3 linked regions of the Schizosaccharomyces pombe genome follow. Changing the gene in region 3 together with the main gene of any one other region gives a genetic interaction. Each region holds a gene or a part of one and is shown on either strand. Other genes may lie near its edges.

Region 1 (3,195 bases), on a different chromosome or scaffold from region 3:
AAGAGGAAGAATGGGAGTCTAAGGTTTACGATGTCGCAAAGTATGAAGCCTTTGGTATCTGTTTCTTTGTTAACTGAAAATAGAAATAAATTCATTGACGTCTTTTCTTTACGATTGAGAACCGAAGCACCTCAGCGAGACCCTCGGGACAACATTTATGAGTAAGCTTTTGATAAATTCTTTTTATACAGTAGAAACTATATTAACATAATGATTGCGATAGGGAGGTATTAGATCAAATCGACTCATTGAATTTAGATCCAAAATACGATGTTGCTAAACCTACCGAGCAGGAAACCGAGTTTATAATAAGGAAACTAGGTGTTTTGATTGATGATATTAACAACATTAAGCTGAGTGATAAAGAAATCAAAGGAAAGATGGTAATCAATTTATCTAAAGTCCAACCGAATATTACTGGAAGTCCTTCATAAGCCCAATAGAACTAATTTTTCCATTAGTTATATTCCACTTCTGATTACATACTTCCCTCTTTACTATTAGCTAAATCTTTTTGTTATACTTTTTTGGTTTGTTTAATATCTCCATGAGTTAATTACATGTTACGAGCTGAACTCATTGTTTTTAAGAGCTCTCTTACTGAAGGAAGACATTTAAGAAATATATTTTTCTAAGTTAACGTTTATTTTGTTTCTTTAGAAGCCTTGAAAACAATTGCTATCCATAATAATATTGAGTGATACTAACATCGCGAAAAACAAAAGAAGGTATAAAGATTAGGAAAATAAATAGGCAAGCCTTCGAAGTTTATTTGTTAAGCTTAACAAACACAATTACTGCTATGGCTGGCAGGACAATTAATGCGATTAATAGAGGCAATCTGTTCTGTTAGCATGAAACAACCATCGTACACAAATCATTTTCTTACGGAGGCGTATCATTATCAAATGAACGAGGTTTCTTTAATTCTTTGAGTCTCTCCTCAGTTCCGGGTTTTAAATCACCAATATACATCTCTTCTAGTAACTCATCTGCAGCAATAGAGTGTCCAATGTCCTGATAGGCCTTAGTGGCGTCCTGGCCTAAAACAAATAGTTAGTGGACATGTTTAAAAAGCCGTATACAATGTTTTAATCAAGAAGGCACACAAGTGAAGAACTGATGAATGAAACGATAGCGATTAAAAGTATACTATCGCTTTTGAGCATAGCAGTCTCCAACATAATATGGTGTTTACTTCTACAAAAGTTTTGTCGAATTATTTACCTGCATAGTCCAACATTATATCTAAGCCTCCAGGATGATCATCAGCAAAGTTACTAACGTCGTAAACTTTTCCATTAATGACCATGTACATGTCTTTGGAATTATTGTGCTCCACAATCTCCTCAGGTTCAAAGTATTTCACCGACATCTTGATAAATAAATCTATATAATAAAAATCGTGTGTTGAGGGGAGTTGGAAAAAGTTTGCGAAAGTTTTGATATCGCTAGTAGAGAAAATCTCACGTTAGGGTATCGTGTGGTAGTAGTAAATAATCGAACAAACGAGCTCAAGGAATTTATTTAGCAGCCAATGATAGGCAAAGCGGCATGTACAAAATTCTGCCAGATTTTCTGCTTAACCAAAAAGTGGATAGGAATAATATTTTTTTACCAATAAACAATTATTGTTGAGGTATGGAGGATTTCTCATTTATATCTTTTTATCTATAATGATCTAATAACGATAGATCTCAATATCCCTCGCAACTTTGATACAAGCTTAATTTAGCTAGCGTTAAGCTTATGACATTCTTCAGTAACGGTATGTTACATGTTTGAAAAAAAAAATATGTCCTAGGTATAAAGTACAACAGGGTGACTAGCTTCCTTTTATTTGCTTTGTTGAGATTAACCGATCGTATACGTAAACAAGCAAGTACAAAATGACTTTCTTTTATATAGAACGCATGAATGTAACTAAGATTTTGAGTAAATGCGTAGCAGTTCGTACAACTATCATTTACCAAATAGATAAACTACTACCTTTGAAAATTGTAACGCCATATAGTTTCTCTGTCGGATATATTCAGTTGAAAGCACCATTCATTGCTAATAAAACACCAATAATTACAGAACCGATCTAGTAATATACATTTAGACCAACTGAGCTTCTATGCTTGTTTGTCTTTGCAGACTGTTTTTGTAACTTTTGCAATAACAAGCTGAAGTGCCAGTACAATATTCTTGAGCATCCGTTAGCTATCTAATTTTGCTTCACATATAGCAACTAGAAAAATAAAAATAAGTAAAAAGAAAAAACCTCAAAATTATGTTGGATATAACTAGTACAAAGTGTTTTCTCCACGTCAAAAAAAGTGTCACGAACCGGGATCGAACCGATGACCAACAGATCTTCAGTCTGTCATGCTCCCAACTACACCATCGCGACATGTTCTGGTTACCGACTTATTTTAAACTATCTATATACACTAGTTAATCTTCCCACTCTAGGAACCGGCTTGTCTCGTTCGTTACTTATTTCACCACGTTCAATCTCACTTCGTACAACCAGTGCCCTTTTTTCTTTCACGAAAGTCAGTAAATTTACAAGCGGAGGAACCATGATTAATAAAAAGCTTTTGTTTCTAGTTTTTGCACTAGCTAAAGGAGTACTGGCTGATGAGGAAGATGAATACGAAGAGGATTACAATATGAATCCCGAGTTGGAGAATCCAGGAATGTTCAAGCATGTCGATTGGAGAGATTTCCGTCTTGAATTTGTTATTCTTGCTTGTTTTTTCCTTTATGTTTTTTCTTTTATCACGCAAAAGAAGAAAAACCAAAAAATCGCTTCTCGCTGGTATGGTTCCTTACAGTCTAGCTTTCGCCAACAGTTTGCACAATATGGACCAGGTCCTAACAGTTCTCCAATCATTTATGACTCTCCTACCGAGTTTAGCTCCTATCTTACTGGACGTCTCAACGTGAAGAATGTGTATACAACACTTCAGCTTTTTCCTCGTCAAGATTTGTTAGCCTACTCTCTTAATCAAATCGTTGAAATCCTCCTGGGAAACGTTATGTCTTCTGTTTTACCTGTTGCTGACCGTTTTCAATTCGATTTAACTCTTGCAGACCAGAACTTGAAGGCTGAGCGTTTTGTTTTCGCCATTGTTCATAAAGACTGTATGCGCATTCTTCGTGAAATACGTTACGACTTAAGCTTTACCCGCATTTCTTCCTCTCCTT
Region 2 (4,243 bases), on a different chromosome or scaffold from region 3:
ACACAAAGAGGAGAGTTTTTCCAATCAATAGTATCATTTTGTTTACGAATGGAAGAGGATGGCGAACCGATCTTTCCCCTTTTGCCAACCCGCTTAAACCTTTTAACTTCTCTCTGTTTCTTTACCTCATCTTTTTTCTCGCTTGATTTATCTGAATTGGACAATTGGGTTTTTCGTCGAATCAGAAAATGGATCAGTACAGGCAGCAGCAAGACTATGTACAATACAGCCCGGTATTCTTCCCAATGCTCCCCGATGTACCCCAAAGAATACCCCATGGCAATGATTTACCACTGGAATTTAGCAAAGAAATAGTATCCTTGGTGGTTGGAAAAAGGATTCTTTGAGGTGTGGCATATGGAAAAGACACAGGCAAATTTCACCAATAAGCGCCAACAGAACTAAGTCCAGCTAGAGAGTACTAAAATGAAGGATGAACTTTTAAATTAATTTAAAATTTTTACTTATTTGTTTATTTTATGATTAATTTTACCTTATTAATATATAAGTGCTTTCATCTAAATGATGGAGTGCTGGCCAAAAAGGTACTTTTTGTAAAAGTCAACATTCTTGAAAATCAAACTATAAGAAAAGCAATATCTCTTAAAATACCTCATGTGTAGTAACATTTAGAAAAATTGCTAGATAGCTAGTGTTAGACGTAGTGAAAATGATACTTGGAGATGAGACACTTTCAAACGATTGAAGAAAGAATCAAGGATGAGGGCTTTGTAATGATTGTTATTTGTGAAAAGTATTCAAAAAAGATTTGGAATGTTTGATGAGAGTTCATTTTTAAAGATTTTACGACATGGGAATATATCAGTAAAACGAAGAATAAAAAGTAAATAATGCAGCTAGCATGCTGCGTCTTAAATAAAGAGCAAAAAAAAAGATATAAAGCAAAAGCGATAAATGAAGAAAGTAAGAGAAAGAAACCAATTCAACTATACCTTTGTAACATCGAAATTCTCCAAGCTTAGCACCTTTGTTATATGCTTGTCCGCAGCTTGTTCTGGAGAAAGAGAAAAAAAGGGAAGAATATTGACATCAGGAACCCACACAACTTTCATGCCTGCCGCCCGGCCTGATTGAACTCCTGTAATGGAATCTTCAAAAACCAAGCAGTTCTCTGGCAGGATTTCTGCCTGGCCTTGAGCCTTGCGCTTGTCGTTGATCATCTTCAAAGCGATGAACCAAATATCTGGGTGAGGTTTGCCTCTACCGACGGGTAATCGAGGGTCATCTCCAGTGATAATGTTTCCATCAAAATGATCAAACAAATGACTCAAATGAGCGGACTTCTTTTCAAAGTTGTGTGTGTCACTGGAAGTGGCTAGTGCTATAGGAATGTTTAGTGATTTCAACTTACTTAACAAATTCATAACGCCAGGTAAAGGCTTTGTATGCCTCCATAGTTCAGCTTGAGTTTCACGTTGTAATGCTATGTATTCTTCGCAGGTCAAATCAATACCCGACCAATCCAAAAAGATTCTGCTGGCCTCCTTTGAAGTTCGGCCTAAAGCATGAATGATTAGAAGGTTGAAAAAAACAACAACAGCTCAAAGCCACTTACCCATCATCTTAGCCTTGACTTCCATGGAGAAGGGGCCTTTGTTATAGCGCTTTAAAATGATATCTAGACGCACCGTTAGCCTAACCAATACCTTTGAACAGAAAGGGAAAAGGAAGAGTAAAACTTACTAGTGCTTTTTGTGTAGATTGACTCTGTATCGACCAACAAGCCCTGTATTCGTTAGATAGAAGGACACTTTATCGCTTTTCAAGTAGTATGCTTTAAGGAATCATCAGGCTAAGCACTTTTAAGTAGAATGAAAAACAAATAAACGATAATAAATATTGTATTTGTTGATCATGGACGCCGTAAATGATCCATATTATTTTACTATGTACGTACGTCCATATCGAAAAGACACGCCTCAGGAATCATCTTTAAAGTAAAGTAAGGGTTTTAATAAAAAGAATGTCTTTGTTTTTCTACGATGAAGAAAGATATTGTTGAAAGGATATATACTATTCGTAACAGAATGAAACCAATTTCGATCAGTATACGGACGAAAGCAGCAATGGGAATGAGATGAATATACGATAACTTATCAAATAATTCAAGTTTAGACAATCACAGTCGTCCTTAATAAATTCTGCTAGAAGTAGTCAAACGTGGAGTTGACAAGTTGCAAGACGAGCCATTGTTTAGGCAAAGGTGAGAAATAGAATATTTGTGGCATTAGGAAAGCTTTTGGACTTGCAAATAGAATTGCTTGAAAATAATGAGTGTAAAGAGAGGTAAAGTTGGCGAATTTGTTGAGTCAGGGATTGAACTTGATTCATCTAAATGATAATGTTATGGTAAGATAAAAAGAAACTAGAAAAAAATAGAAGAAAGTTTATAAAGTGCAATGACATTGAATTTACTCGACTCTCTTCCTATTACACGACAAGCTCAGTTTATGGATGTTTATTTGTCTACAAACAATTCATTCACGTGTGACTTTGAACTTGACCGGAAACATGTTACAGAAGGTGGTTTGAAAGTAAAATTGATACGGGAATGGGTGTCTTATTGAAAAACTACAAAGCTGTACTCGATGACTATGGAATGTCATCAGGTGGATATACAGATAGCTCTTTTTAAATGTCGAGTGAGATATCGGTGGTTTATTTTGAAGAAAATTACTTAAAAAGTGATTAAAGTAATAATAAGTAATGAAAGTCAAATAAAAGGCCTTACGATTATCTGCTCGTCAACTATGGGTATACAGGTGTATCTCACACTATGCTTGAAGATTTCGCTGACGATTATATAGACAATGTCCATAAACAGGTTAAAACCAAGCCTTTTTAATTACGAACTTGACCATTTCTGAAGACTGTAGATACCTTAGAAGCTAATCTCATTTGTATTACTGTAAGAGGCAATTCGAATCGACAAGAGTGTAGGTAGAAGAGTATACCTATCCAAAGAGTATCAGATGCTTTTACCAATTTAAGAGTTTTCCATGGATATGTATTCAATTTTAGGTCCAACTATTTAACACTTGTGCGAACATCGATCATGTCCGATGCAGCAACTTGCTGCTGTCATGTCGCTCAAACCAAACAAAAGAAATGTGCCAATTAACAAAATATTTCCAATACTATACTTGTAACGTTCTAGCATTAATACATACCTTAAGGCACTACTTGCAATCAGCCCAGTCATGTCAATCTCTTCAATATCTTGTTCGGGATCCCGCTTGCGACCAGCGCATTATTTTTCTTAGATTACTGACATTATATATTTCAATTTGGAACAAAAAAACAATCTGATTTCGACCATTTTTTAAAATTTTTCTTTTTCATAAATTTTTTCGACTTTTCCTATACTTTCGATGGTGAAGAATGCATTGAGCACAGTCTGCAGCTTCCATTTTTTTCTTCTGAAATTTTATAGTAAAATCGAAAGTTTTTCATCTGCTTAAGCAATCAATTAAATCTAGACAAACATTGCTAAGTTCTCCGCAAATTCAAAGAAACTTTGGCTGACGTACCTAAAATGCTTAAGTGGAAGTTTCCACGCTACACACAACTTAACCAGAACCTATATCCTTAGGAACACCAAGAAACTCAGAAAAGGTATGTTTGTAGTGTTTTTTAGGAAAAACGAAGTTATTTGTCTGGAAAAAGTATTTACTAACGAGTTTTTGAGGTAGTTTTATCAAAATGTCTTCATTGGAACAATTAAAGGCCACTGGCACTGTTGTCGTCTCCGATACTGGAGATTTTGAATCGATCGCCAAATACAAACCCCAAGATGCCACCACAAACCCTTCTCTCATCTTGGCCGCTTCTAAGAAGCCCCAATATGCTGCTCTCGTCGACGCTGCTGTTGACTATGCCAAGGCAAAGGGTGGTTCCATCAACTCTCAAATTGAGATTGCTTTTGATCGTCTTTTGATCGAATTCGGTACCAAGATCCTCGCTATCGTCCCTGGCCGTGTCTCCACCGAAGTTGATGCTCGTTACTCTTTTGACACCCAAACTACTATCGAGAAGGCTCGTCACCTCATCAAGTTGTACGAAGCCGAGGGCATTGGTCGTGAGCGTGTTCTCATCAAGATTGCCTCCACCTATGAGGGTATCCAAGCTGCTAAGCAACTCGAGGAAGAGGGCATCCACTGCAACTTGACTCTCTTGTTCTCTTTTGTCCAAGCTGTTGCTTGCGCCGAGGCTAACGTTACCT
Region 3 (3,612 bases):
GCGGAACTCCTCGTAAGGCATTTTCCAATCCAATTGGAACAAATAGTTCCATCCCCCAAATACAGGATAGCGAGGATTTAACTCGATCCATGTCTGGTGAGGCTCAACTCGCATATGAGATGTGGTAATGTTTCCCACCTCATCGGTATAGTAGACATCCTTGGAATTTCTAGGAAGACTATAGACGACTCGATTAATAGCAGTAGAAACTGGATTGTAAAAGTTTCCCATATACCACTTGGCACGATCGAAGTTGGACTTCAGCTTGGCAGCATGGTTTTCAAAAACCACACGCTCCGAGACTTCTAACATTTTTCGGTATTCATGCATATCAATTTGAACATAGAGATCAGCTCCGCGAGGAATAGGTACAGTATGCTCATAGCGAACATAGATTTCACCTAAATCATTGTCCTCCCCGGTGATAGTCTCACGGCTTTCGTAAACCAAAGTATTGCCAACACGATTGGGAAGTTCAGCTCCATCAATATTATACGTAGTATATGTGTCAATTTTAGCAGAAGGGAGTATAAGACGAGTGCGTTGAAGATCAGTAGTGTAGGGACTATCTAAGTAAAGGGTTGTCAGGTAAACCAAATATTGTTCTTCGTCTTGATCCACAGCTGCTGGTAAAGGACGAACACCACCGTCCAAACCTGCCTGTATTAATAAAGTACGAGATTCACCAGGTTTGACAGGAGGTTGTAAAGGAATATCATAAACATTGTTGTTAACTTTTATAGGGTTAGTTCCTTTCTTTTCTTCCTCTTTTATCGATACGGAGAGAGACAAGACACTTTCGCCAGGTGAGGTCTGCTGAAAGTAGCGATATGTATTTTGAGGCTCATCTCCTTCATTTACAATAATTAAAGAAGTGAGAGTTTTGGTATAAGTGGAGCGTAAATCAATCGTACGAATCGCGTTACTATTTCTCCATACCTGCTCAGCTAAACTGAGCCCAGATATGATGGACCACAACAATAGCTTGAGAACTAACATTTCTGAAACCCGCAACCAGTGAAACTTGGAAAGCTCAACACTGTTTTAGAATAGGTAATAAATGAATTTATTACAACCTTGAAAAACGCTGTTTACAGATAACCTTCAAGAGGCTATGCGTTTAAAGAGCGGTAATACGTTCAGGTTAGGTTTGCCAGCCCAAAAACCAACAATATGCACAACGTAGTGTGTATACACTCGTTAATATCTTTAATGACTTGGTGGACTAGTTCGGTATACACATTCCGATTAAAAAAAATTGTTAAGTAAAATTAGATATTCGAATAAATAGTAGTTTCTCCGTTAAATTAATGCTAAAATAATTATGTTCCGTTCTTGAACTTTAAAGAAAATTTTCACAAATAACCAGGCTTTTTCTCTTTGACTACTAAGATCACGAATGAAGATGACGGCGACTTGCTATTTGAGTATTGGTAGTAAAGAACGAAAGTACATGAAGATTAACCCCTACTGCTAATTATTTGTACCTTTTAAAATTTTCTATTGAGAATGCATCAAACTGAAAAACGCTTCTAACGCTTCCGTTTTGGTTCGGTAATAATAAGCTTATGAATAGGCGAGATAACATTACTTAAGGCGTCATAAAGGTTTGCTACTGGTACAATTTTTTCATCAACACTTACTCTACTCTGATATACCAGTGGTGAATTTCTGTGATTCCCATCGTCTATTGCGTATCTTTTTGGATTTTATTTATTCTAAATAAACAAAATGAGTAAGGAAGAGACCCTTTACAGTGTTAAAGTGGATCAGGAGCGTGTTCCTCTTTTCGATGAAGACTTTTATAAAGGCTTTCGTAGCGAATTATCTGTTCGTTTTACGATGGCAGCTTTGGATCCTAGAGCTAAATCAAATGATGCCGTTACAGTAAACGTGATCACTAGGCTTGAGCACCCCGAAGAAGATGGAGAAGAAAGTGACGAAGAACTTTTTCAAGAAGAAAAATTTACCCTATGCACCCTTAAAAAGGGCTCGGTTTACCAGCAACCAATTGACATTATTTTCTCTCCTGGAGAAGAAGTTTTCTTTGAACGAGTTGGTGGTGATATTCCGGTTTATTTGAGCGGAACATGCATAATTACAAACATTCCGGAGGAGGAGGATAGTAGTGACCTCGAGAATGACTTTCTTTATGGAGCAGATGAATTTAGCAGCGATGAAGAAGAAATGGATGATATTTCCGTTACATCAAGCGAAGAAGAAGAGGAAGAAAATGGTGCTCGTATAGAGGAGTTGAACAGTGACGAAGAGGATGCCGAGCAAGCAGAAGAAGAGATTTTAGAAAAGCCTGTTCCAAAGGATGAAGTTGCTGAAAAGCATTCCAAGGATAAGCTTAAAAAGGAAGAGAAAGAAAAGAAAACTGCTGTCGACGTATCAGATTCTGTGAACGGCAAAAAGAGAAAGACCGAACCCGCCGGTGAAGGAGAACAAACTGAGAAGAAATCTAAGTCTACAAAAACTTATCCTAAGCAAGTACTTGAAGGAAACGTTACGGTTCAAGATAAAGTTAAAGGTGACGGACCAGCTGCGAAGCGCAAAAAGCGCGTTTCTATGCGTTACATAGGTCGTCTTACTAACGGAAAGGTATTTGACAAAAACATTACCGGAAAGCCCTTTACTTTTAATCTTGGACTCGAGGAAGTGATAAAAGGGTGGGACGTTGGTATCGTGGGTATGCAAGTAGGTGGAGAACGTACAATTCATATTCCAGCTGCCATGGCCTATGGCTCTAAACGTCTTCCAGGTATCCCAGCCAATTCAGATTTGGTTTTTGACGTAAAGCTTTTAGCGGTTAATTAATTTTGTGTAGTTTGGTTCATAAAAAAATTATGGTTTAGTTGGGTCTGGAAATTACGGAATAGCAAATTTTTTGAATATTATTCGAATTATTTTGAGGTAAAGTAAGCACTCTAGTAGAAATATGTATGTTACTGAGACAACTAATTGGTCGCAGTAAGGTGAGGATCTTGAGCACTCTTTTAAACTGATGATAGAATTAGATGTGTGAGCAATAATGGGCATCAGAATAAATAAAACACTTTTTTTATTAGTCGTTGTCTTGAAACATGAGTGAGGGAAAGCACAATCGCTACTAGTTATCTACGGATATTTGGTGGAGCCACTAGAAAATTTTGTATTTGTGAATTTATTATATGAAGAAGGCTACTAAATACTCTTATTCCCTCAATTTTTTAATTGAGATTTCATAATTGGTTTTCGCGATATCTCTCATGTATTTTATCTACTGCAAGTTGATTTAGAATAAAAAAAGAAATTATACATAGTAGGATGCAATTAACTGGATCGATCTACCCATGGTTTACTGCGTATGCTTTATTGAAATCCACGCTGATGGAACTCATCAATTCGTTTATACCGTACAAATCTCAAACTGGAAAGGCACCAAAGTGTCTGGTTCCTTATTGGCTTTCAATTCGTCTAAGTTTACTTTACTTTAAATTGACAGAGGCGATATCATTTACCGAGAAGTGCGAAAAATATAATATTAGCTTATTTGATTCAACTTTTGTATTTGGCTATATCGTTAACTGCTTTTTTATTATTCATTTAAACACGTTCCTTACATCACAG

What was found.
Region 1: mutations in ani2 (region 3) and cyb502 together harm fitness more than expected from each alone (negative genetic interaction), as found in Schizosaccharomyces pombe (one large-scale study listed by BioGRID).
Region 2: mutations in ani2 (region 3) and SPOM_SPCC1020.07 together harm fitness less than expected from each alone (positive genetic interaction), as found in Schizosaccharomyces pombe (one large-scale study listed by BioGRID).

What each region holds. Positions count from the first base shown.
Region 1 is NC_003423.3:2,574,054-2,577,248, forward strand, and holds cyb502 (cytochrome b5), read right to left. Parts: upstream 1,413-3,195; 5' UTR 1,376-1,412; coding exon 1,228-1,375; exon of another isoform or gene 1,044-1,227; coding exon 890-1,043; exon of another isoform or gene 842-889; coding exon 769-841; 3' UTR 610-768; downstream 1-609. Other genes in the region: Ragulator-Rag complex subunit Lam1, read left to right, coding at 1-40, 84-161, 224-434; SPOM_SPBC2G5.01 (Ca(2+) binding protein), read left to right, coding at 2,568-3,195.
Region 2 is NC_003421.2:769,775-774,017, forward strand, and holds SPOM_SPCC1020.07 (pseudouridine-5'-phosphatase), read right to left. Parts: upstream 2,190-4,243; 5' UTR 1,952-2,189; coding exon 1,919-1,951; exon of another isoform or gene 1,748-1,918; coding exon 1,705-1,747; exon of another isoform or gene 1,640-1,704; coding exon 1,577-1,639; intron 1,520-1,576; coding exon 948-1,519; 3' UTR 501-947; downstream 1-500. Other genes in the region: wybutosine biosynthesis protein Tyw1, read right to left, coding at 1-278; tal1 (transaldolase), read left to right, coding at 3,724-4,243.
Region 3 is NC_003424.3:4,326,491-4,330,102, reverse strand, and holds ani2 (FKBP-type peptidyl-prolyl cis-trans isomerase), read left to right. Parts: upstream 1-1,634; 5' UTR 1,635-1,731; coding exon 1,732-2,820; 3' UTR 2,821-2,956; downstream 2,957-3,612. Other genes in the region: dolichyl-diphosphooligosaccharide--protein glycosyltransferase Ost1, read right to left, coding at 1-999; SPOM_SPAC27F1.10 (uncharacterized protein), read left to right, coding at 3,310-3,612.